4 linked regions of the Saccharomyces cerevisiae S288C genome follow. The gene in region 1 interacts genetically with each later gene. Each region holds a gene or a part of one and is shown in the gene's direction. Other genes may lie near its edges. The genes, in order: INM1, ESF1, AFG2 and SNO4.

The links.
Region 2: mutations in INM1 (region 1) and ESF1 together harm fitness less than expected from each alone (positive genetic interaction), as found in Saccharomyces cerevisiae (one large-scale study listed by BioGRID).
Region 3: mutations in INM1 (region 1) and AFG2 together harm fitness more than expected from each alone (negative genetic interaction), as found in Saccharomyces cerevisiae (one large-scale study listed by BioGRID).
Region 4: mutations in INM1 (region 1) and SNO4 together harm fitness more than expected from each alone (negative genetic interaction), as found in Saccharomyces cerevisiae (one large-scale study listed by BioGRID).

What each region holds. Positions count from the first base shown.
Region 1 is NC_001140.6:196,439-202,277, reverse strand, and holds INM1 (inositol monophosphate 1-phosphatase INM1), read left to right. Parts: upstream 1-3,992; coding exon 3,993-4,880; downstream 4,881-5,839. Other genes in the region: AAP1 (arginine/alanine aminopeptidase), read left to right, coding at 968-3,538; DDE1 (Dde1p), read right to left, coding at 5,045-5,839. UniProt on the Saccharomyces cerevisiae protein: Responsible for the provision of inositol required for synthesis of phosphatidylinositol and polyphosphoinositides.
Region 2 is NC_001136.10:1,202,580-1,209,245, reverse strand, and holds ESF1 (pre-rRNA-processing protein ESF1), read left to right. Parts: upstream 1-2,862; coding exon 2,863-4,749; downstream 4,750-6,666. Other genes in the region: YDR365W-A (gag protein), read right to left, coding at 927-2,249; CDC40 (Cdc40p), read left to right, coding at 5,036-6,403. UniProt on the Saccharomyces cerevisiae protein: Involved in the 18S rRNA synthesis. Required for the early cleavages at sites A0, A1 and A2.
Region 3 is NC_001144.5:912,050-916,607, reverse strand, and holds AFG2 (AAA family ATPase AFG2), read left to right. Parts: upstream 1-1,715; coding exon 1,716-4,058; downstream 4,059-4,558. Other genes in the region: SKI complex RNA helicase subunit SKI2, read left to right, coding at 1-1,452; tethering complex ATP-binding subunit VPS33, read left to right, coding at 4,298-4,558. UniProt on the Saccharomyces cerevisiae protein: ATP-dependent chaperone which uses the energy provided by ATP hydrolysis to generate mechanical force to disassemble protein complexes.
Region 4 is NC_001145.3:916,459-922,165, reverse strand, and holds SNO4 (glutathione-independent methylglyoxalase family protein), read left to right. Parts: upstream 1-3,086; coding exon 3,087-3,800; downstream 3,801-5,707. Other genes in the region: phosphopyruvate hydratase ERR3, read right to left, coding at 765-2,078; YMR321C (uncharacterized protein), read left to right, coding at 4,270-4,587; YMR320W (uncharacterized protein), read right to left, coding at 5,115-5,420. UniProt on the Saccharomyces cerevisiae protein: Catalyzes the conversion of methylglyoxal (MG) to D-lactate in a single glutathione (GSH)-independent step. May play a role in detoxifying endogenously produced glyoxals. Involved in protection against reactive oxygen species (ROS).

The sequences.
Region 1 (5,839 bases):
TATTGGATCTTCCACTCCGGTTCGAGGAAAAAAAGAGAGGAGGAGAAACGCATAAGCTACAATAATGAGTGAGTTAACGCTTTAATTTGCTCAGTGATCATTGCTAGCCGGATATTTGTGTTTTTGTAGAACCCAGCCATACCTAATCATCTCAGTATATTATCTGAATTCTTGACTCAAAATATGGATTTTCTCGAACGTCTCACTTCCAATCATCCCATCAAATGCTGTGGATGAAAACATTTAAAACACGGGCAAGAAAAAATGAGTATAGTATAGTTGTGGCCAGTTCTTGTTGTACTAATGCACTTGCTTTCGTATCAAAGTTGAAGAAGCACTGAAAGAACAACAAAAAATTTATTAAAAGCAAAAATCATTCTACGTTCAACGAAAATGTAAGGCAAATATATCTTTATATAGGCAAGCATAACCGACGCTAACTTTGTTCGAGCTTCATCAACGTTATTAATATCGTAGTTATTCCGCTTTGTCTCAATAAGCTTTTGCTTACTTGAGAAAAAGAACGAAGTTTCTGTTTGAGATTTTCCTTCTCATTTTCTTTGAAATTTAAAGGAGAAATATTCAGCTCTATACATTCTTTGTTCGAGTATGTTACACATCACCTTACAATGGGAACATCCTATGATGACATACTTCTTCTCGATGATTTATTTTTTTTCTCAGCAAACGCTGTTTTCTAGGCGGTGAAAAACGGGAGTCTTCATCCCACATTTTTTGAACTCGTTGTGAAAGTTTTTTTTCGTACTCTTGGACTTGGCTGTGGGAGTTTGACACATTTTTTTATTTTTTTTCCGTTTTTTTCCCTTTTGTTAGCGATCAAACTTTTGACTTTATGAGTAATCTTAGCTAATCATTTAGAATTATCTTCAGGGAAGCTTATTCAATTCGTGATTTTTCTTTGAGGGTTCCTGTTCAAGCAAGCCAAATTGCCCTCTCAGCTAATACCATGTCCCGTGAAGTACTGCCAAACAACGTTACCCCATTGCATTATGACATTACACTAGAACCTAATTTCCGTGCTTTTACGTTTGAAGGGTCATTAAAAATTGACCTGCAGATTAATGATCATTCGATAAACTCTGTGCAAATAAATTACTTAGAAATAGATTTCCATTCTGCACGTATTGAGGGTGTCAATGCCATTGAAGTTAACAAAAACGAAAACCAACAAAAAGCTACTCTTGTCTTTCCTAATGGAACTTTTGAAAACCTAGGACCTTCTGCGAAGTTAGAAATTATCTTTTCCGGTATTCTAAATGATCAGATGGCGGGATTTTACAGGGCTAAGTATACGGATAAAGTCACAGGGGAGACGAAGTACATGGCTACTACTCAGATGGAAGCCACAGATGCTAGAAGAGCCTTTCCTTGTTTTGACGAACCAAATTTGAAGGCGACTTTTGCAGTAACTTTGGTCTCTGAATCGTTTCTGACTCATTTGTCCAACATGGATGTCAGGAATGAAACAATCAAAGAGGGTAAGAAATATACAACTTTTAACACGACTCCAAAGATGTCTACGTACTTAGTAGCATTTATTGTAGCTGACCTGAGATACGTGGAAAGCAATAATTTCCGTATTCCAGTAAGAGTTTATTCTACCCCAGGGGACGAAAAATTTGGTCAGTTTGCAGCCAATTTAGCTGCTAGGACCTTGAGATTCTTTGAGGACACCTTCAACATAGAATATCCATTGCCAAAGATGGATATGGTGGCAGTTCATGAGTTTTCTGCTGGTGCTATGGAAAACTGGGGGCTAGTGACTTATAGAGTTATTGATTTGTTATTAGACATAGAAAATTCGAGTTTAGATCGCATTCAAAGAGTTGCTGAGGTTATTCAGCATGAACTAGCCCACCAATGGTTCGGCAACTTGGTCACCATGGATTGGTGGGAAGGCTTATGGTTGAATGAAGGTTTTGCCACTTGGATGTCTTGGTACTCTTGCAACAAGTTTCAACCAGAATGGAAAGTTTGGGAGCAATATGTTACTGACAATTTACAACGTGCTCTAAATTTAGATTCATTAAGATCTTCCCATCCAATTGAAGTTCCCGTTAATAATGCGGACGAAATCAATCAAATTTTTGATGCTATTTCTTATTCTAAAGGATCTTCTTTATTGAGGATGATTTCCAAATGGTTGGGTGAAGAGACTTTTATTAAAGGTGTGTCCCAATACCTGAATAAATTCAAATACGGTAATGCAAAGACCGGAGATTTGTGGGACGCCTTAGCAGATGCCTCTGGCAAGGACGTTTGTTCGGTGATGAACATCTGGACAAAACGTGTTGGTTTTCCAGTGTTATCTGTCAAGGAACACAAGAACAAAATCACATTAACTCAACACCGTTATTTAAGTACCGGTGATGTTAAAGAAGAGGAAGATACAACCATATACCCCATTTTGTTAGCTTTGAAAGACAGTACAGGTATCGATAACACATTGGTATTGAACGAAAAATCTGCTACTTTCGAATTAAAGAATGAAGAGTTCTTCAAGATTAATGGTGACCAATCTGGTATTTTCATTACCTCTTATTCTGACGAAAGATGGGCTAAGCTATCCAAACAGGCAAATTTATTATCCGTAGAGGATCGTGTTGGCTTAGTCGCAGATGCAAAAGCCCTTTCTGCATCTGGCTATACCTCTACTACTAACTTCTTGAATTTAATTTCTAATTGGAAAAACGAGGATTCATTTGTTGTTTGGGAACAAATCATTAATAGTTTATCCGCTCTGAAATCTACTTGGGTCTTCGAACCAGAGGATATATTGAATGCTCTAGATAAATTTACTTTGGATCTAGTACTTAACAAACTTTCTGAATTGGGGTGGAATATTGGCGAAGACGACTCCTTTGCTATCCAACGTTTAAAAGTGACCCTTTTCAGTGCCGCATGCACTTCTGGCAATGAAAAAATGCAATCGATTGCGGTAGAAATGTTTGAGGAATACGCCAATGGGAACAAACAGGCCATACCTGCACTGTTCAAGGCAGTTGTTTTCAACACCGTTGCCAGACTTGGCGGAGAAAACAATTACGAAAAGATTTTCAACATCTATCAAAACCCTGTTTCGTCAGAAGAAAAGATTATCGCTTTGAGAGCTTTGGGCAGATTTGAAGACAAAGAACTTTTAGAAAGGACATTGTCTTATCTGCTAGATGGTACAGTTTTGAATCAAGATTTTTACATCCCAATGCAAGGCATTAGAGTTCATAAGAAGGGTATTGAAAGGTTATGGGCTTGGATGCAAGAACACTGGGACGAAATTGCTAAGAGATTACAGCCAGGCTCGCCTGTGTTGGGTGGCGTGTTGACATTGGGTTTAACTAATTTTACCTCTTTTGAAGCCCTTGAAAAAATTAGTGCGTTCTATAGTAGAAAGGTCACTAAAGGTTTTGATCAAACCCTGGCTCAAGCCTTAGACACTATTAGATCCAAGGCGCAATGGGTGAGCAGAGATCGTGAAATCGTTGCTACCTACTTGCGTGAGCATGAGTATGATCAATAGCTTTTTTTTTTCACGAGCACCTACAACACAAATATATACATATGCCAATGAGTCAAAACCACGTGTAATTAATAAAGAGATTACTACTTGCTTATGTAGAAATATAGTAGCTAGCAGAAAATGAATCTGATAACATCTTCATTGACACATTTCCAAGTATAGAGAACTTTCTTCTGCTTCCTTTCGGAAGAACTGAGTGAATATTGACTGGCGTGCGTCATAGCGAGATTTTTTCATCTGATGATGTATGGAAAAAAAAAAAAAACTTTTTTTTGAATAATGGATGCATCGAGTGACTTTCATTGTTGCGCACGTTGCTTTTCCAAAAATGGTATTAATATAGGTCTTTTATCTCTTACTTCACATTTAACTGCTTGTTAAATAACCCCAGTGTTTTCTTTTTTTTGGATGAATAAGGAAATCAACAGCTGGTACACGCATATACACATATACCATGACCATTGATCTAGCTTCTATCGAGAAATTCCTCTGTGAACTGGCTACTGAAAAAGTAGGACCAATCATCAAATCCAAGTCCGGCACTCAAAAGGATTATGACTTGAAGACTGGCTCCAGGAGCGTTGATATTGTAACTGCTATCGATAAACAGGTCGAAAAGTTAATTTGGGAATCGGTAAAAACCCAATATCCAACTTTCAAGTTTATTGGAGAGGAAAGTTATGTGAAAGGGGAGACCGTGATTACTGATGATCCTACCTTTATTATTGATCCAATTGATGGGACTACAAACTTTGTTCATGATTTCCCATTTAGCTGTACCTCTCTTGGGCTCACAGTAAACAAAGAGCCCGTAGTAGGCGTTATATATAATCCTCACATTAATCTTCTGGTATCCGCTTCTAAAGGAAATGGGATGAGAGTTAACAACAAGGACTATGACTATAAATCAAAATTGGAATCTATGGGTTCTCTAATACTAAATAAATCCGTAGTGGCATTACAGCCAGGTTCCGCTAGAGAGGGAAAGAATTTTCAGACAAAAATGGCCACATATGAAAAATTACTATCATGTGATTACGGTTTTGTTCATGGATTCAGAAATTTAGGATCATCTGCAATGACAATGGCATATATTGCTATGGGGTACCTTGATAGTTATTGGGATGGTGGTTGCTATTCGTGGGACGTGTGTGCTGGATGGTGTATTTTGAAAGAAGTGGGCGGTCGTGTAGTAGGTGCCAATCCAGGTGAATGGAGTATTGATGTCGACAATAGGACATATTTGGCTGTGAGGGGAACAATTAATAACGAAAGTGACGAACAAACAAAATATATCACAGACTTTTGGAACTGTGTTGATGGCCATTTGAAATATGACTGATCGTCAGCACATTAGGCCTAATATAAAATGTACGATTAAAATGACAGTTATTTGAATCATTTTAGCTGATCACAGGGATATAGAAGGTATTGGTAGTAATAATAATAATGATAATAATAATAATGATAATAATAAATAATAAATAATAAAGCGATAGATAATGCTCATTGATTATAGATGTATAAGCAACCGTCTTGGCCAAATAGTCCAAAAACGCCAACTAGAGGCATCCATCCTTCACCTCCTCCAAACCTTTCAGCTAAATGCAAAGCTTTCTCTAAACGATCGGACTCTACTGGTTTACCTATGCTAAAACCACGAATACATAACATACCCTGCTTCTTCTCTATGTTCAAATGAGGGTTTGTTTCCGTTTCTACCATTTTTCCTTCTAATGTTGTACTTAGTGTTCCATAACATACAACGTTATCGTCCACAGATTTTCCAAAAACCCTATAGTCATAAAAATTGGTATGTGCCACAGGTCCCATGATAGCGTAGGGACAATATAACTCGAGGACTACACGGGATCCTAATTGAGCTCTTATTTTATTCAATTGTTCAGTGCTTGGGGTGATTCTTCGGTTAGTCTTTTTTAGCTGAGGAATTTTTTCAGGAAATGTCGAAATAACCTCAGCATCTTTCACATTATCTGCCAAATAAACACATCTTAATTTTTCAAGAGAATGTGGCTCGATTCTGGCAATTTTCGTAAAAATACCCTCGCTCAGTAAGTTCGTGGCCCAGGATAAGTAGATTTTATTCAGCAGCCCACTTCTAGAATTAGAATCAATTAATTTGACAACATCCTTTGTTTCGGTAAACAGTAACGTAGTTTCTTGCAACGACTCGCAATCTATCGTTGTAGGATTGATGAAAGATGCAGACCCACCATGCAGCAAAACTGCAAAAAGCTTTCCCCAAATTTGTAGGCTTGCACTAGAATTTGCCAATTTTGT
Region 2 (6,666 bases), on another chromosome or scaffold:
GGAATTTATGGAGAGTTCTGTTAGTATACTCAGAACCACGGTCCATTTGTATAACCAAGACACTGGCCTGAAACTGGTTCTTAATAAAAGCTAGTATCGTAGTAAAAACATCGAGGATAGAGTCCTCGCGACGGTCGTGTAATGGATAAACCCAACGGAATTTTGTTGTCTCATCAGTAAATGAGATGAAATAGGATGGTGCACTATTTGGTAGGTTGTGAACTGGACCAAATATGTCAGTATGTAGGTATTGAAAGGGTTCGTATGAATTTTGGTATTTTAGTCGTGAACCTTTGATATGTCTGTGTTTGGTGCTTTTGCCGATTAAACAATCAGGACATTGATAGTCAATAGCACTAGACCAGTCGACATCTGATTCGTTAAAATACGTGATGGTGTTATTTTTAAGTGAGTATCGAATTGTCTGTGCATTGGCATGCGCAAGCATTCGATGAATGAAAGGATAAGGATATTTGCGTGTACTTTCACTTGTATGGACATTATTGATGGTGGGTACGGAGATATTTGATGGAAGCAAGTACCTTTTAGATACCCAGTAAAAGTCTCCATATTGTACGATAGGTGCAAGTACAGTGCCGTCAGATCGTTCTAAGACGTTTTTGGTAAAGCATGCTGTGATATCTACTGCAGCCAATTCATTCAAACTGAGTAAGTCATAGGCTATGTTAGGAGTGTGCAATACCTTTATTGATGTTTTGGTGTTGTCCTGGAAGTGAAATTGTAGGTCACCAATAGCGTTAATTGGTATATTTCTTTTTTGAGCATCAACTACGTTTATGTCAGGATTAGATGATGCTGAGTGTATGTGATGAGCAGATCTTATAAGGGTTCGTGATGCTCCTGAATCGAGAAGGAGGTGTCCAGGGAGTTCATCATCAGAATGATTAGTGTGATTTACCGTAGATTCAGTAAGTTCCTGGCCTAAGGTGAAGGTCGTGCTTATTGTTCAATTGAATCGGTTCAGTAGTTGATTTACTGATGGAATCGTTGTCCGTGCTGGGAGAGTTATTAGATGTGGATACATTGTGAGCCCTGGCTGTTTTCGATTTCGAATTATTTGTTTTTTGAGGATTCCGAGCTATAACTTTGGGTTTGGTTGTATTCGTATAGCTGCGAGAATCATTCTTCTCATCACTCAGATTTCTCCTGTAATTAGGTTTGCTGTTTCTCGATCCCTGTTGTTCTTCATAAATAGCATGGATATCTAAGAACAGTTCAGCGACTGTCATATTTAGATGTCGATGACGTGTGTAGCGTAAAAATTTATATTCGCCAGATAGACCTCTCATAATTAATTGGCATGCGACCTTGTTATTGATATGAATGCCATTATTGTTCAGTCTGTCGATAATGTTTGTGACTTTTGTTTCAAATGCATCTGCAGGTGTACTGCCATTATATTGCAAATTTGCCAGGGTCACAATGTCGTTTGCCTCTTGGGTATCAGATTGCATTTTTTCAATACTTTTGGAAAGAATTTTCATGATATCCGTATAATCAACGGATAGGATGTCTTTGACCCAGGTAGGTAGGAATTGAGAGGGAGCAAATATTTGAAAAGTGTTATACAAGAAGGTGAGTTCATCATCAGTGATCTGACGTACGGGTTTTCCGTTTACTGTCGGAATAATACCACCGAGATTCGAGTTTTGTAAAAATTTGATGTATGTTTTAACCCAATTTGGAAAGTCATTAGGTGAGGTTAACATTGGTGGTGGTCTGACATATTTTTTAGTGGATGTCATATCAGAGTCCGCTGAGGATGAATCAGTAAATGTATTACCTGACTCAGGTGATGGAGTGCTCAGAGGCGTTCCAACTGATGATGGATACTGCGGAAACTGTGATTGTGGCCCAGGTGGAAAGTACATAGGCGACATTTGATAAGGTGTATACGGAATCATAGATGGGTGTCCGTAAAATGACCAACCAGATGGATTGGCTTGGTTTTGGGTCATCATGCACTGCTGTGGGTACGGCCCATTCTGTGGAGGTGGTACTGAAGCAGGTTGAGGAGAGGCATGATGGGGGTTCTCTGGAACAGCTGATGAAGCAGGTGTTGTTGTCTGTTGAGAGTTAGCCTTAGTGGAAGCCTTCTCACATTCTTCTGTTTTGGAAGCTGAAACGTCTAACGGATCTTGATTTGTGTGGACTTCCTTAGAAGTAACCGAAGCACAGGCGCTACCATGAGAAATGGGTGAATGTTGAGATAATTGTTGGGATTCCATTGTTGATAAAGGCTATAATATTAGGTATACAGAATATACTAGAAGTTCTCCTCAAGGATTTAGGAATCCATAAAAGGGAATCTGCAATTCTACACAATTCTATAAATATTATTATCATCATTTTATATGTTTATATTCATTGATCCTATTACATTATCAATCCTTGCGTTTCAGCTTCCACTAATTTAGATGACTATTTCTCATCATTTGCGTCATCTTCTAACACCGTATATGATAATATACTAGTAATGTAAATACTAGTTAGTAGATGATAGTTGATTTCTATTCCAACATGCTTCAACAATCTCGGAAGCATCGCTCAGAAGCGCAAATACAACTCTGTGTCTACTATGCCAAGAGAGGACGATTGAAATCTGCTAATAGCCCTATATCCAAAGATTAGCAATATGAGCCGGGCCAAATATCCCAGATGAGGCTACCGATCATTATTGACGTTCCGAAATTTTTCAGTTACAGAAAAAATTTCATCTCATCTCATCTCAAATTCATCATTAGCATAATGGTACAAATAATAAATATCACATAACTGTGGGTCCGGAATATTTTTCAAGACATTTCAGCGGATCGTATAAGGTTGCAAGAAAAATTGAAGATGGCTGGAGAGAACCCAAAGAAGGAAGGTGTAGATGCTAGGTTTGCCGGGATCTACAGCGATCCTAAATTTAAGAACACGAAAACCAAAGATCATAAGATCAAGTTAGATTCTAGGTTCAGTAAGAAGGATCTGGAGGTCCAGCATAAATCTAAGGTTGACAAGTATGGTAGAAAGATCAAAAATGCGCAGAATAACAGGGAATTGGAAGATTTCGACAAATATTTCGAAAAGGAAGCAGAAAATGATGAAGATTCAGAAGTTAATGCGAAAACAGTAGTGGACCGTGCCCGTGGTGAAGTTCCTGATGATTATGTTAGCTCTTCTGATGAATTCACTTCTTCTGATTCTGAATCGTCCGGAGAAAGTGAAGTTGAAAGCGAAGAAGAAAATGAAGTAGAAATTGAAAATGCCAAACCAGAATCTGGTGACATCTCTAAGAATTTGGCCGTCGTAAATTTAGATTGGGACCATGTTAAATCTGAGGATTTGATGATTACCTTTTCCAGTTTCGTTCCTAAAGGTGGTAAAATTGAAAGAGTTGCTATTTATCCAAGTGAATTTGGTAAAGAAAGAATGCAACGCGAGGAAGTTGAAGGACCTCCAAAGGAACTTTTCCAAAAGAAAAATAAGAACAAAACCTCCAAAAAGAAGAAAACTGATGACTCTGATTCTGATATGGACATCGGTATTAAGGATCTTTATGAAGAGGGAGATGCTGACAAGGACGTGGATTCCAGAGCTTTACGTCAATACCAGTTGGACAGATTAAGATATTATTACGCAATAGTTTATTGTAGTGATACAACCACCTCCAAAGCTATCTATGATAACTGTGATGGTACCGAATATGAGTCAACCGCTAATATGTTCGATTTAAGGTATGTTCCTGATGGTATGACTTTTGATGATGATGTAAGAGATGAATGCAGTATATTGCCTAAGAACTATAGGCCACACCAGTTTAGCACAGATGCTCTACAACATTCAAGCGTCAAATTGACCTGGGATGAAACGCCAGCTGATAGGGTCGAAGTTGCTAAGAGGGCCTTTACCCAAAAGGAAATTGATGATATGGACTTTAAGGCTTACTTGGCGTCAGATAGTGATGAATCGGATGGGCAGGTCGATGAAGAGGCGAAAAATAAACTAAAGTCGTTGGTTGGTGACTTTGGGTTTAATTCCAAGAAAGAAACCCCTAACGATGAAGATGAAGAAGTTGATATGGAAATTACATTTACTCCAGCCTTGGAAGGAGGAAACGAGAAATCGTCGGAAGACAAAGAAGAAACGACTATAGAGAAAATAAGAAGAAAAGAGAAGGAACGTCGTAAAGCAAGAAAGCAGAAAGTAAAGGAATTGAAACAGCAGTCGGAGAAGGATAAGAAAAGCAAGTTGAAATCTGTTAATAAAAAGCATACTAACGATGAAGAGGAGATCGAAAAGAATGCCAAATCAAAGGCTGAATTGGAGCTTTTAATGGATGATGATGATGATACCGAAACTCAGGGCACAATAAATAACAAAGCACATTTCAACATGAACGAAATCTTAAGATCAGAAAAAGAAAAACACAAGAAAGGCCGGTATCAAAAGAAAGAGAGAATTGTTGAAGACACCTTTACACCTGATTTAGAAGATCCTAGATTTAAAGAAGTCTTCGAAGATCACGATTTTGCTATCGACCCGACCCAGCCTGAATTCAAAGGTACACAAGCTATGAGTAAAATCCTAAAAGAACGTAGTAAACGTGTTAAGAATAAGAAAAGAAAACTTGGCGGTAGTGAAAACAATATGACCAATAACGCAGATGATAATGAAGATATTGGTAACTTGGTAAACAAGTTGAAAAAGAAAAGCAAATCATCCAAGAAGGTAAAGGTTTAAAGCAGTCAATGAAATAGTATTTAAATGAAACTTGAATACAAATAGATATGTACAATTATAAAGAATGCATCATTGGATTTGTAGTTGATATCAATTATCGTAATGTTTCTCTGACCGGTTCTTGTAATACCATTTCTTTGAATTTTCTTTTTTGTATTTTGTCTTATTTACGAGGGAGTACTGTGTCCTTGCTAGAGATGAGGTAAAAAAAAAATCTTGAAATTTTTCCTTTATTTTTGGCCAAATAGTGCAACAAACACGGCATGTACTTTGAAGAGCAGATGAAATGGGTTTAGTAGACGGTTATGACACAAGCTCAGACTCTGATTTGAACTTCGACGAAGGCAAATCTGTTCATGAAAAGAAAAATGGTAATTTGCATGAAGATACTTCGTATGAACCTTCTTCAAATAATATTCATAAGAGAAAATCACATTTTACAAAGTCAGAACTAAAAAGAAGACGGAAAACTCGCAAAGGAGATGGGCCGTGGGGCAGTTGGTCAAGTAGTGACGATGAAACTTCACAAGCCAGCGAAACTCAGAAAGAAGATCAGGATATCTTCGTGCACGCGCTGGCTGAGGACAACCTAGATTCGGAACAGATAGAGGTAGAGGAAGTCTCCCATTTTTATGGTAAATCAGAAAAGGACTATCAAGGCAGAGGATATTTATATCCACCAAATGACGTCGATGTTGATCTTCGTGAGGAAAGGATATCCTTTCGGTGTTACTTACCAAAAAAAGTTATACGTAATTATCCGGGGCATCCAGAAGGAACCACTGCCCTGAAATTCTTACCTAAAACTGGACACTTAATTCTCTCTGGTGGTAATGATCATACTATAAAAATTTGGGATTTCTACCATGACTATGAATGCCTACGAGATTTTCAAGGTCATAACAAGCCTATTAAAGCATTACGATTCACCGAAGACTGTCAATCTTTTTTGAGCTCTTCCTTTGATAGAAGCGTTAAAATTTGGGATACTGAAACTGGTAAAGTGAAAACCAGGTTGCACCTTAATTCAACGCCTGCAGATGTTGAATCTCGGCCCACTAACCCACATGAGTTCATTGTAGGTTTATCGAATTCGAAAATATTACATTATGATGATCGTGTTTCAGAAAATCAAGGTCTTGTGCAGACATATGATCATCACCTAAGTAGCATTCTGGCTCTCAAGTATTTTCCCGATGGTTCGAAGTTTATTTCTTCTTCAGAGGATAAGACGGTAAGAATTTGGGAAAATCAGATCAATGTACCAATAAAACAAATAAGTGACACGGCTCAACATTCTATGCCATTTTTAAATGTACATCCGTCTCAGAACTATTTCTGTGCACAAAGCATGGATAATAGAATATATTCTTTCAGTTTGAAACCCAAATATAAGAGGCATCCAAAAAAGATATTTAAAGGGCATTCATCTGCTGGTTATGGGATAAGCTTGGCTTTTTCTGGTGATGGTCGTTACATATGTTCAGGCGATTCAAAAAGCAGACTATTTACTTGGGATTGGAATACGTCGCGCTTATTAAATAACATCAAGATTCCAGGCAACAAGCCTATAACTCAAGTGGACTGGCATCCTCAAGAAACAAGTAAAGTCATTTGCAGCGGAGCGGCAGGTAAGATATATGTATGTGACTAGCTATTCACTCGGAATGTTACTTGAAACAAATTAAATGGTTACATGGATGTGATTTGTTACTTAATTGTTATTACGGATGATATTATTATGATAGTAAAAATGACAATAATAAAGAAACGATTGGGGTTACCTGAAATTGCAAGTACTAGTTCGAGGACACATTTGCATCATATGGTAGAAAGAGCGGATCTTAATATAGTTAATTTTTTAAACTGAGACTGCATTTAAAGAAATGAGAAATCTCAGCTGAGTTATTTAATACT
Region 3 (4,558 bases), on another chromosome or scaffold:
AGATTAACATACAATATGATATTAAATCTTTTAAGAATTGAGGCGTTGAGAGTTGAAGAAATGATCAAGTATTCTTTTAGTGAGAATGCCAAAGAAACTTTACAACCTGAACATGAAAAACAAATCAAAGTATTACAAGAGGAATTACAAACCATAGAGTACAAAAGTTGTGAAATCTGTGATAATGATATCGAAAAGTTTTTGGAATTGATGCTGGCATATAAGGAGGCAACAGTCAACCTAATGCAAGAAATGGTTAAATCGCCTTCGATATTGCATATCTTGAAAGAGGGCAGACTCGTTGCTTTTAGGGACCCCAATGATTGCTTGAAATTAGGATTTGTATTTAAAGTTTCTCTGAAGGATGCTGTTTGTGTCATTATGACGTTCACAAAACCATACAAACTCCCAAATGGTGAGCCAAATCATTTAATATACTTTCCAAAAGCGGATGGATACAGAAGAAGGAACTTCCCTAAATTCCAGAAGACTGATTTTTATATGGAAGAAGTTCCTGTGACGGCTATTGAAGTGATCACTAAACGCAAGTTTGCCGCACCCTTGGGAAAAGTGATTAAAAAGGATGTTGCCGCTTTGAACGAGTTTAACGCTGAAACAAATAACATTTTGGACGGCAAAACGCTAAAAGAAGCAATTAACATTGAAAAGCAAGGTTTAAAAATTCACCAAATATTGTTAGACCGTACAAATATAAGGGATGAGATATTCAAACTAAAAAGCATTAAATGTCCCAACCTAAGCCAACACATTGTTCCCAAGTTTAAGGCGCATGTAATTAAAAAGAAAATTGAAGAATTGTACCATTTGATGTCTGACCAAAATCTGAGCTTACTACCCGATTATGAAAAGAGATTGGCTGTTCTGAAAGACACTGAATTTATCGACCAAAACCACAACGTGCTGTTAAAAGGTAGAGTGGCATGTGAAATTAATTCTGGTTATGAGTTAGTTTTAACTGAATTAATTTTAGACAACTTTTTAGGAAGCTTTGAACCTGAAGAGATTGTAGCCTTATTATCAGTATTTGTTTATGAGGGGAAAACCAGGGAAGAGGAGCCTCCTATTGTCACACCAAGGCTAGCAAAGGGTAAACAAAGAATTGAGGAAATTTACAAGAAAATGCTTTGTGTTTTCAATACGCATCAGATTCCATTAACTCAGGATGAAGCTGAGTTTTTGGACAGAAAAAGGTTTGCCATGATGAATGTGGTGTATGAGTGGGCCCGTGGTTTATCATTCAAAGAAATCATGGAAATGAGCCCCGAGGCTGAAGGTACTGTAGTCAGAGTTATCACTTGGCTAGACGAAATTTGCCGCGAAGTTAAGACTGCCTCTATTATTATTGGTAATTCCACATTACATATGAAGATGAGCAGGGCTCAAGAGTTGATTAAGAGAGATATTGTTTTCGCCGCAAGTTTGTATTTATAGAGAGCTCATTTATTCTCAATGTGAGTCATGTTTATAAAAGTTAATGTTTTCGAACTCTTATTGCACACACACACACACACGTATACATAGTTTTTAAGTCCACTTCGATCCATCTTTATTTTTTTTTTCTTTCATGTAAGCAACGGGCGGACTATTGTAAGAAAATTTTATATTGCCTCATCACATAAACTAATATGCGAACAATATACAATTGAATTCTCAACATTGCCCATTCTCAAAATTGCCCAATCATAGAAAGGAAAATGGCTCCTAAATCTAGTTCTTCCGGTTCCAAAAAGAAATCATCGGCAAGTTCTAATAGTGCTGATGCAAAAGCATCCAAATTTAAATTGCCTGCTGAATTTATTACCAGACCACATCCTTCTAAAGATCATGGCAAGGAAACATGCACAGCATATATTCATCCTAACGTATTATCCTCGCTTGAGATAAATCCGGGATCATTTTGTACTGTCGGTAAGATAGGCGAAAATGGTATTTTAGTAATAGCTAGAGCGGGTGATGAAGAAGTACATCCTGTTAATGTTATCACCCTTTCCACAACTATACGATCTGTTGGGAACCTTATCCTTGGTGATCGTCTAGAATTAAAGAAAGCCCAGGTGCAACCACCTTATGCCACTAAGGTTACCGTGGGGTCCTTACAAGGATATAATATTTTGGAATGTATGGAGGAAAAAGTAATTCAAAAGCTACTGGATGATAGTGGCGTTATAATGCCTGGAATGATTTTTCAAAACTTAAAAACAAAAGCAGGTGATGAAAGCATTGATGTCGTAATTACAGATGCGAGCGATGATTCGCTTCCCGACGTCAGCCAACTAGATCTTAACATGGACGATATGTACGGTGGATTAGATAACCTGTTTTATCTATCTCCACCTTTTATATTCAGAAAAGGCTCCACACATATAACTTTTTCGAAAGAAACCCAGGCAAATCGTAAATACAATCTTCCGGAGCCCTTATCCTATGCAGCAGTGGGCGGCTTAGACAAGGAGATTGAATCACTGAAAAGTGCTATTGAAATACCTCTTCATCAACCGACGCTATTTAGTAGCTTTGGTGTTTCTCCCCCTCGAGGTATACTTCTTCACGGACCCCCAGGTACTGGTAAAACTATGCTTTTGAGAGTTGTAGCAAATACGTCCAACGCACACGTCCTAACCATTAATGGCCCCTCAATCGTCTCCAAATATCTTGGTGAAACGGAAGCGGCATTAAGAGATATTTTTAATGAAGCAAGGAAGTACCAGCCTTCCATTATTTTCATTGACGAAATTGATTCAATAGCACCAAATAGAGCAAACGATGACTCCGGTGAAGTTGAGAGCAGAGTCGTGGCTACATTGCTTACCCTAATGGATGGCATGGGCGCTGCAGGTAAAGTGGTGGTAATTGCTGCTACAAACAGGCCTAATTCTGTCGACCCTGCTCTCAGGAGACCTGGCAGGTTTGACCAAGAAGTAGAAATTGGTATACCAGACGTTGATGCCAGATTTGACATTTTAACTAAGCAATTCTCAAGAATGTCCTCGGATCGTCACGTATTAGATTCTGAAGCGATCAAGTACATTGCTTCTAAAACGCATGGCTATGTTGGTGCTGATTTAACTGCTCTCTGCAGAGAATCAGTTATGAAGACGATACAACGAGGACTAGGAACAGACGCCAATATTGACAAGTTTTCCCTAAAAGTTACATTGAAAGATGTGGAGAGCGCCATGGTTGATATCAGACCCAGCGCAATGAGAGAAATCTTCTTAGAAATGCCAAAAGTTTATTGGTCTGACATTGGCGGCCAAGAAGAGCTTAAAACAAAGATGAAAGAAATGATACAGTTGCCTTTGGAGGCTTCGGAGACTTTTGCCAGGCTGGGAATTTCTGCACCAAAAGGTGTATTACTTTACGGGCCGCCAGGTTGCTCCAAGACATTAACCGCAAAAGCTCTCGCTACAGAATCGGGTATCAACTTCTTAGCTGTGAAAGGGCCTGAAATTTTTAACAAGTATGTAGGGGAATCCGAAAGAGCTATAAGAGAAATTTTCCGCAAAGCACGCTCTGCAGCTCCAAGTATTATCTTCTTTGATGAAATCGATGCATTATCTCCTGATAGAGACGGGAGTTCCACCTCTGCAGCTAATCACGTGCTCACATCTTTACTCAATGAGATTGATGGTGTTGAAGAGTTAAAGGGTGTAGTTATTGTAGCGGCGACGAATAGACCTGATGAAATAGATGCTGCTCTTCTAAGGCCTGGTAGGTTAGATAGACACATTTACGTTGGCCCTCCAGACGTAAACGCCCGCTTGGAAATCTTAAAGAAGTGCACAAAGAAATTTAATACAGAAGAGTCTGGAGTCGATCTTCATGAATTGGCAGACCGTACAGAAGGTTATTCCGGAGCTGAAGTTGTGCTGCTTTGTCAAGAAGCGGGCTTGGCTGCCATAATGGAAGATTTAGATGTCGCAAAAGTGGAATTACGTCATTTTGAGAAAGCTTTTAAAGGAATTGCTAGGGGCATTACTCCAGAAATGCTCTCTTATTATGAAGAGTTTGCTCTAAGAAGCGGTTCATCTTCGTAAGCTTGTTCATAGTCAATTCTTTTCCTTTGTGTGCTCAATAATAGTAGATAGAAATTATACTGAACTCCGGTCATTTTGTATAATATATTAATCACTTCACACGAACATACATAAATAAAATATCATAAAGGTTAGCAAATTGGAACTAGTTATATGTTAATTAGTTAAAAGATAGAAAATTCGAGAAAGGAAGAAAAAGCTGATATTGCCCATCTCCAACTTTATCAAATCATTTCACGATGAATAGATTTTGGAATACTAAGAAATTTTCATTAACAAATGCCGATGGACTATGTGCTACCTTAAATGAGATATCTCAAAATGATGAAGTTCTTGTGGTTCAACCAAGTGTATTGCCAGTACTCAATAGTTTGCTAACTTTCCAAGATTTGACTCAATCAACTCCTGTAAGGAAAATTACGTTACTCGATGATCAGCTAAGTGACGATTTACCGAGTGCCTTAGGCAGCGTTCCGCAAATGGATCTTATTTTTCTTATT
Region 4 (5,707 bases), on another chromosome or scaffold:
AAAATAATACTGTACCCTCTATTTCCCGGAATTGTACAGAATAGTAGATATGTGCTGGGAGTCGTATATTGTTAGAGTCTGTAATTTTTACGCGCGCCTAGTGGATTCGCTGATACGATTACGTTATTCTAAACCGTCGCAAAGCAAATTGTGTTGAAGTAATTCAAGACTTTAAATCACTTGCACCAAAATCATTGTTGCGAAAACTTATCCTCATTATTAGTTTCTTGACCGTAACAGTAGTTGAAAAAAATGAAATCATTTCTATGATCGATACACTTTCATTATTTAACTTCTCTATTATGGTGTAACTTCTTACTTTTGTCAGAAAAAAAGATTTCAAGACACAACAAGAATGGGGTCAAAGGTCTGCTTGTACTATCAGGAAGATTTGATACCAACCGCGTTATAAGGGTTACTAGAAAGTAATAGCTGCTAAAAAATTTAAACCGAAGAGATTAATCAGAAAGCTGAAAAACTGCAGTGTTAGTAGAGTTGTAAGCATTTCTTGATTGGAACAGCCTTCCCCCACACGTCCACCCTTGTTCAGACAGATTCGTAATGATTTTGTGTGTAGGCAATGGAAAACTTTAAAAACGGTTTGATTTCCTACAAGATAAAACATATGAATAAAATAACTTGTGTCAAATGCCCCATTTCCATACTGTAACCCAAATCAACGAAATAAAAAATAAAACCTCATATGATTTACTTTATTTAGTCATAAAAAAACAAAAAAAAAAAAAAGGAAACAAGACAATCCTTTATAGTTTGTTTCCATCATGAAACCTATGACCAGCATATATACAATCGTCCCCCAGTTCCTCTTCGATACGCAAAAGTTCATTATACTTGGCCAGTCTTTCTGATCTCGACAAAGCGCCCGATTTAATTTGACCACATCTTAAACCAACGACCAAATCAGCGATAAACGGATCTTCGGTTTCACCTGATCTATGTGATATCATTACACCCCATCCAGCATCGAAAGCCTGATTGGCGGCTTCAATAGACTCAGTCAGAGTACCGATCTGGTTGAGTTTCAGCAACAGAGTATTCGCACATTTCTCCTCTATAGCACGGGCGATCCTGGTCTTGTTGGTGCATGTCAGGTCATCTGCAATTATCTGAACATTGACAGTCTTTAGGAAGGCAGACCACGAGGACCAATCATCTTCGGCGTAGGGGTCTTCCAGGGAAATGATTGGGTATTTCTTTAGCAATGAATGATAATATTCTGCTAACTGAGCTGGACTGAGCCAGTGAGATGGGTCAGAGTTCGGTTCCTTGAAATTTAGGTCGTATTTCCCGTCCTTATAAAAAACAGAAGGAGCACTATCGATTCCTACTTTCACTCTACCCTCGTAACCGCATATGTTAATGGCTTTCACAATCATGTCCAAGGCGTCCTCGGCAGTGTCGATATCGGGGGCGACTCCACCCTCGTCACCAACATTTCCAGCGGAAGGTCCATATTGCTCCTTCGCCAATATCTTCAAATGATGGTAAACCTCCGAACCCATCCTCATGGCTTCTGCAAAGCTCTGAGCCCCGACTGGCGCGATCTTGAATTCTTGCATAGCTAAAGAGCCACCGGCGTGGGCTCCACCATTCAAAACATTGAAAAAAGGAACAGGAATAACAAAGGGGTCCTGTCTAGCATCCGCTAACTCGGCTATATACTTGTAGAGAGTAATTCCCTTTTGTGCGGCAGCAGCTCGAGCAACGCACAAGGAAACACCAAGGATAGCATTGGCGCCCAACCTTGACTTGTTAGAAGTTCCGTCTAACGATATCATGAGCTCGTCTATGCCCTTCTGATTGGTTACACATAAGTCGGACTTGATTAAAGCAGGCCCTATGATACTATTGACGTTACTGACTGCCTTGGTCACCCCTTTTCCCATCCATTCGGACTTGTTCCCGTCTCTAAGTTCAACAGCTTCGTGAATGCCGGTGGAGGCACCAGATGGGACGATCGCTCTGAAGAGACCATTCTCTGTTGTAATTTCAACCTCAACAGTCGGATTACCGCGAGAATCATACACCGTTCTAGCATGTACCTTCGTGATGGACATATTTTTATCGTTGAGATTCGATTTTTTCCTCACCTTGTTTTGGTATTTCTATTGCAAGACAAAGTGAAAGAAGAAGAAGTGGTGGTAAAAAATAACTATATATAATGAAAATTGTTACCTGGTGGGAATGCAAACTGTAAGTAATAACCTGCCAGATCCATGTTTCTATTATATACCTAAGAACCAGCCAAGTTAGGTAAACGAGGAGTCTTTCAATATCTCTTTTCTAGTGAGAATGTTATTTAGGTAAATGAACAAGTTACCACTATACTACTCACCCCCTACACTTTGTTTGTGACCTCTCCCCTTATCCAGTTCATCGAAACTTTTTTTTCAACTTGTGGATCTGTGACATTGTCTACAAGAGCCGATTTTGATGTCTGAACAAAAAACAACCTTACCTTTCCAGATGCAACTTTCCAGGAGAGCTGCGTGAGTTTCAAATATTTAACATGTCGGAGAAAGCTCCCAAGTACTTCCTTGTTCTTGTCATTTTTTCCTTATCTCCATCCTTTAAGGAAGCTATTTCCATTATGCGATTCTATAAATCCGAGCATGCGAGTATTTCTTTTCTTGGCGCGGAGTCGCTGATGACGCAATAGGCACATTCATGAACATCCAGGACTGGTAATCTTCTCGTCTTAAAAAAAATCCAACCACCAGTAAAGAAACTCTTGGGTAAAATGCAGTATCTGAAATATTGCATAGCTGCAAATGAAGATATTCAGTATCAGCATAGGTATTTTCATGAAGGATAGGTAAAAAGAAAGAAAAGAAAAATATCTTTTTGACTGTCATTCTTGCAATTATCACAATTAGGGGACTTTAAAACCGATACTTGATATATGAGCACAGTCAAGGGGCCGGTTCTTGAGATTTTAATGGAAAACAAGAAAGTTGCACATACAGGTCTGCTTTTCTTTGCTTGCTCCAGACAACGATACTTAGAACTAAAACATATTTCTAGAACACTTTTCTCCTTCATTCAAAAAGAAAACTGGCCTTGCAATGACTCCAAAAAGAGCGCTAATATCTCTTACTTCATACCACGGTCCCTTCTATAAAGATGGTGCGAAAACAGGCGTTTTTGTAGTTGAGATTTTGCGGTCGTTCGATACTTTCGAAAAGCATGGTTTCGAAGTGGACTTCGTTTCTGAGACTGGTGGATTTGGCTGGGATGAACATTACTTGCCAAAGAGCTTTATTGGTGGCGAAGATAAGATGAACTTTGAAACGAAAAATTCCGCCTTCAATAAGGCGTTAGCGAGGATCAAGACCGCAAATGAAGTCAACGCCAGCGACTATAAAATATTCTTTGCATCTGCTGGACATGGTGCTCTATTTGACTATCCCAAAGCTAAAAATCTGCAAGATATTGCATCCAAGATATATGCCAATGGGGGTGTGATCGCCGCCATCTGTCATGGACCGCTCCTTTTCGATGGATTAATAGATATCAAAACAACAAGACCATTAATCGAAGGCAAAGCTATAACAGGTTTCCCACTCGAGGGTGAAATCGCCCTGGGAGTTGACGACATCTTGAGGAGCAGAAAATTGACAACGGTTGAACGCGTTGCAAACAAGAATAGAGCCAAGTACTTGGCGCCAATTCATCCCTGGGATGACTACTCTATTACCGATGGAAAGCTAGTTACGGGTGTTAACGCAAATTCTTCCTATTCGACCACAATTAGAGCTATAAACGCATTATATAGCTGAAACAAAAGACAAGGGAATTGTTGAAGGGGAGGCTTCTAATGGCCTTCAGTTTCTGTGAAGAGAAGGCTAACAGCTCAATGGTTCGAAAGGTAAAGAAAACGGCAGATCGGTAGCACTCGATTTTGCTAGAATGGAAATCATATAGAGAACAATTGAATAGTAGGCCTTGGTTTTTAGTGTTGTACTCATCATGGTCATATGTGACATAGGTAATGTACATATATATAAAAAAAAAAAAAAAAAAAGCAATGCTGTGAGATCATTCGTTACTTACGAAATACGCAGATTGCAATTTGAAATAAGCTGTGTTTCCTTTTTTCTTTTTTTTTTTTGGCTTGTTATATACAACTTTTTTCTATTTCTGTTCTTTTAGGAGTAATTAATTGGTACATGGGAAATAAATATGAATTATATTAAATGAAGTAAAAGTAAAAGAAAACGGGGAAATTTATCGTTTCGTAGTAAATAGATGATGGACTTGGGCGACAAAATAAATCCTAACCTCTCGTTCTTAGGAATCAACTGCGTCAGCTTCAACCAATCACCCGACATTCTTGAGTCTCTACATCAAGCACTGCCAAATATGGCCTTGCTTGCTTATCCAAACAGTGGTGAAGTTTATGATACTGAAAAGAAGATATGGTTGCCAAATAGCGATAAGCTGAACAGTTGGGATACGGTTGTTAAACAGTACATTAGCAGCGGTGCCCGTATCATTGGTGGTTGTTGCAGAACAAGTCCAAAAGACATCCAAGAGATTTCTGCAGCCGTCAAGAAATACACGTAAATGCCTTTTTAAAGAAACTGGAAAATTCTTAACATTATACATATGCTAGGAAGCAGCATGTTACACTAAATACATTTTATAAACAGCACAAGAAGTATTGTTAATTAATTATCCTTGCCATGTTTTTTTAGAGTCACAAATGCTTTTCCGTACTTCGCCGACAAAAAACAGAGTAAACATCATATGTTTTATAATCTAAAGGAATCAACTAACAGTTCATCAGATGGGAATTTGGGAGAGTGCACAAGTAAGATGGGGTAAAAGAAGATAAATCTCCACCGGATCTAAACCTTTGCCAATAATCCTCACATGGTGGAGCTACAATCTCGCCTTCTCCGACCAGTCACGATTAATTAAATTGCCTAAAATTAACTTTTATATTCCCATACAGTCGATATTGCTAGCTCAAAAGGCGTTATATTCGAAAGTTGTATCCAAATATTCCATCTAATGTATTATTGGCAAAAGGATTCCGTGATCTGTGTTCCCAAGAACAATCATAACCTTGAAAAATTATTCGCCAATCATTACATGCGGCAAACTAAAAAGCCTTTTTTTGTTGGCTCCGTGGCTCTATTGTCGCAGCTGATAAAAGCAGGTGCCCTTGGATATTTTCGAGAAATATATGACAACTTATTGATGTTTTGCTGGATCAAGTTTACGTGAAGGCAAATTTTCATAAAAGTGTAAAGTATTAACTCTTGAAGGTGCAATAACTCAATGGGTTTTTTTACCTTACAACTCAGCACCATCTTATAATTACAAGGCTGTAATATGTGAGGCCTGGCCGAAATTTCATGTGAAACAATACATGGCTTTCCAAATCTACGCATTTTTAGAGCTTTTCGTGAATGTCGTTACGCTGCTCCCTGACTTAACAATCCCGTTAGGGTATCTACTTCAGAGCAGATTACAATATCAAGAATGTTGTTGGTAGGTATTTGTAAACTTGAATTAGAATCCAAAAAGCCTTTACTAGGAGCTATTTTTAATAGTGTTTATGTTTTTCTTCGAGTACTCTATGAGATGGAAAATTGTCGCCTACGAAAATTTAGTACCTTCTCTTTATCCCAGTGACAAGTTATGCATGCTTGTTATACGATGTTAAATCTTCACTTAA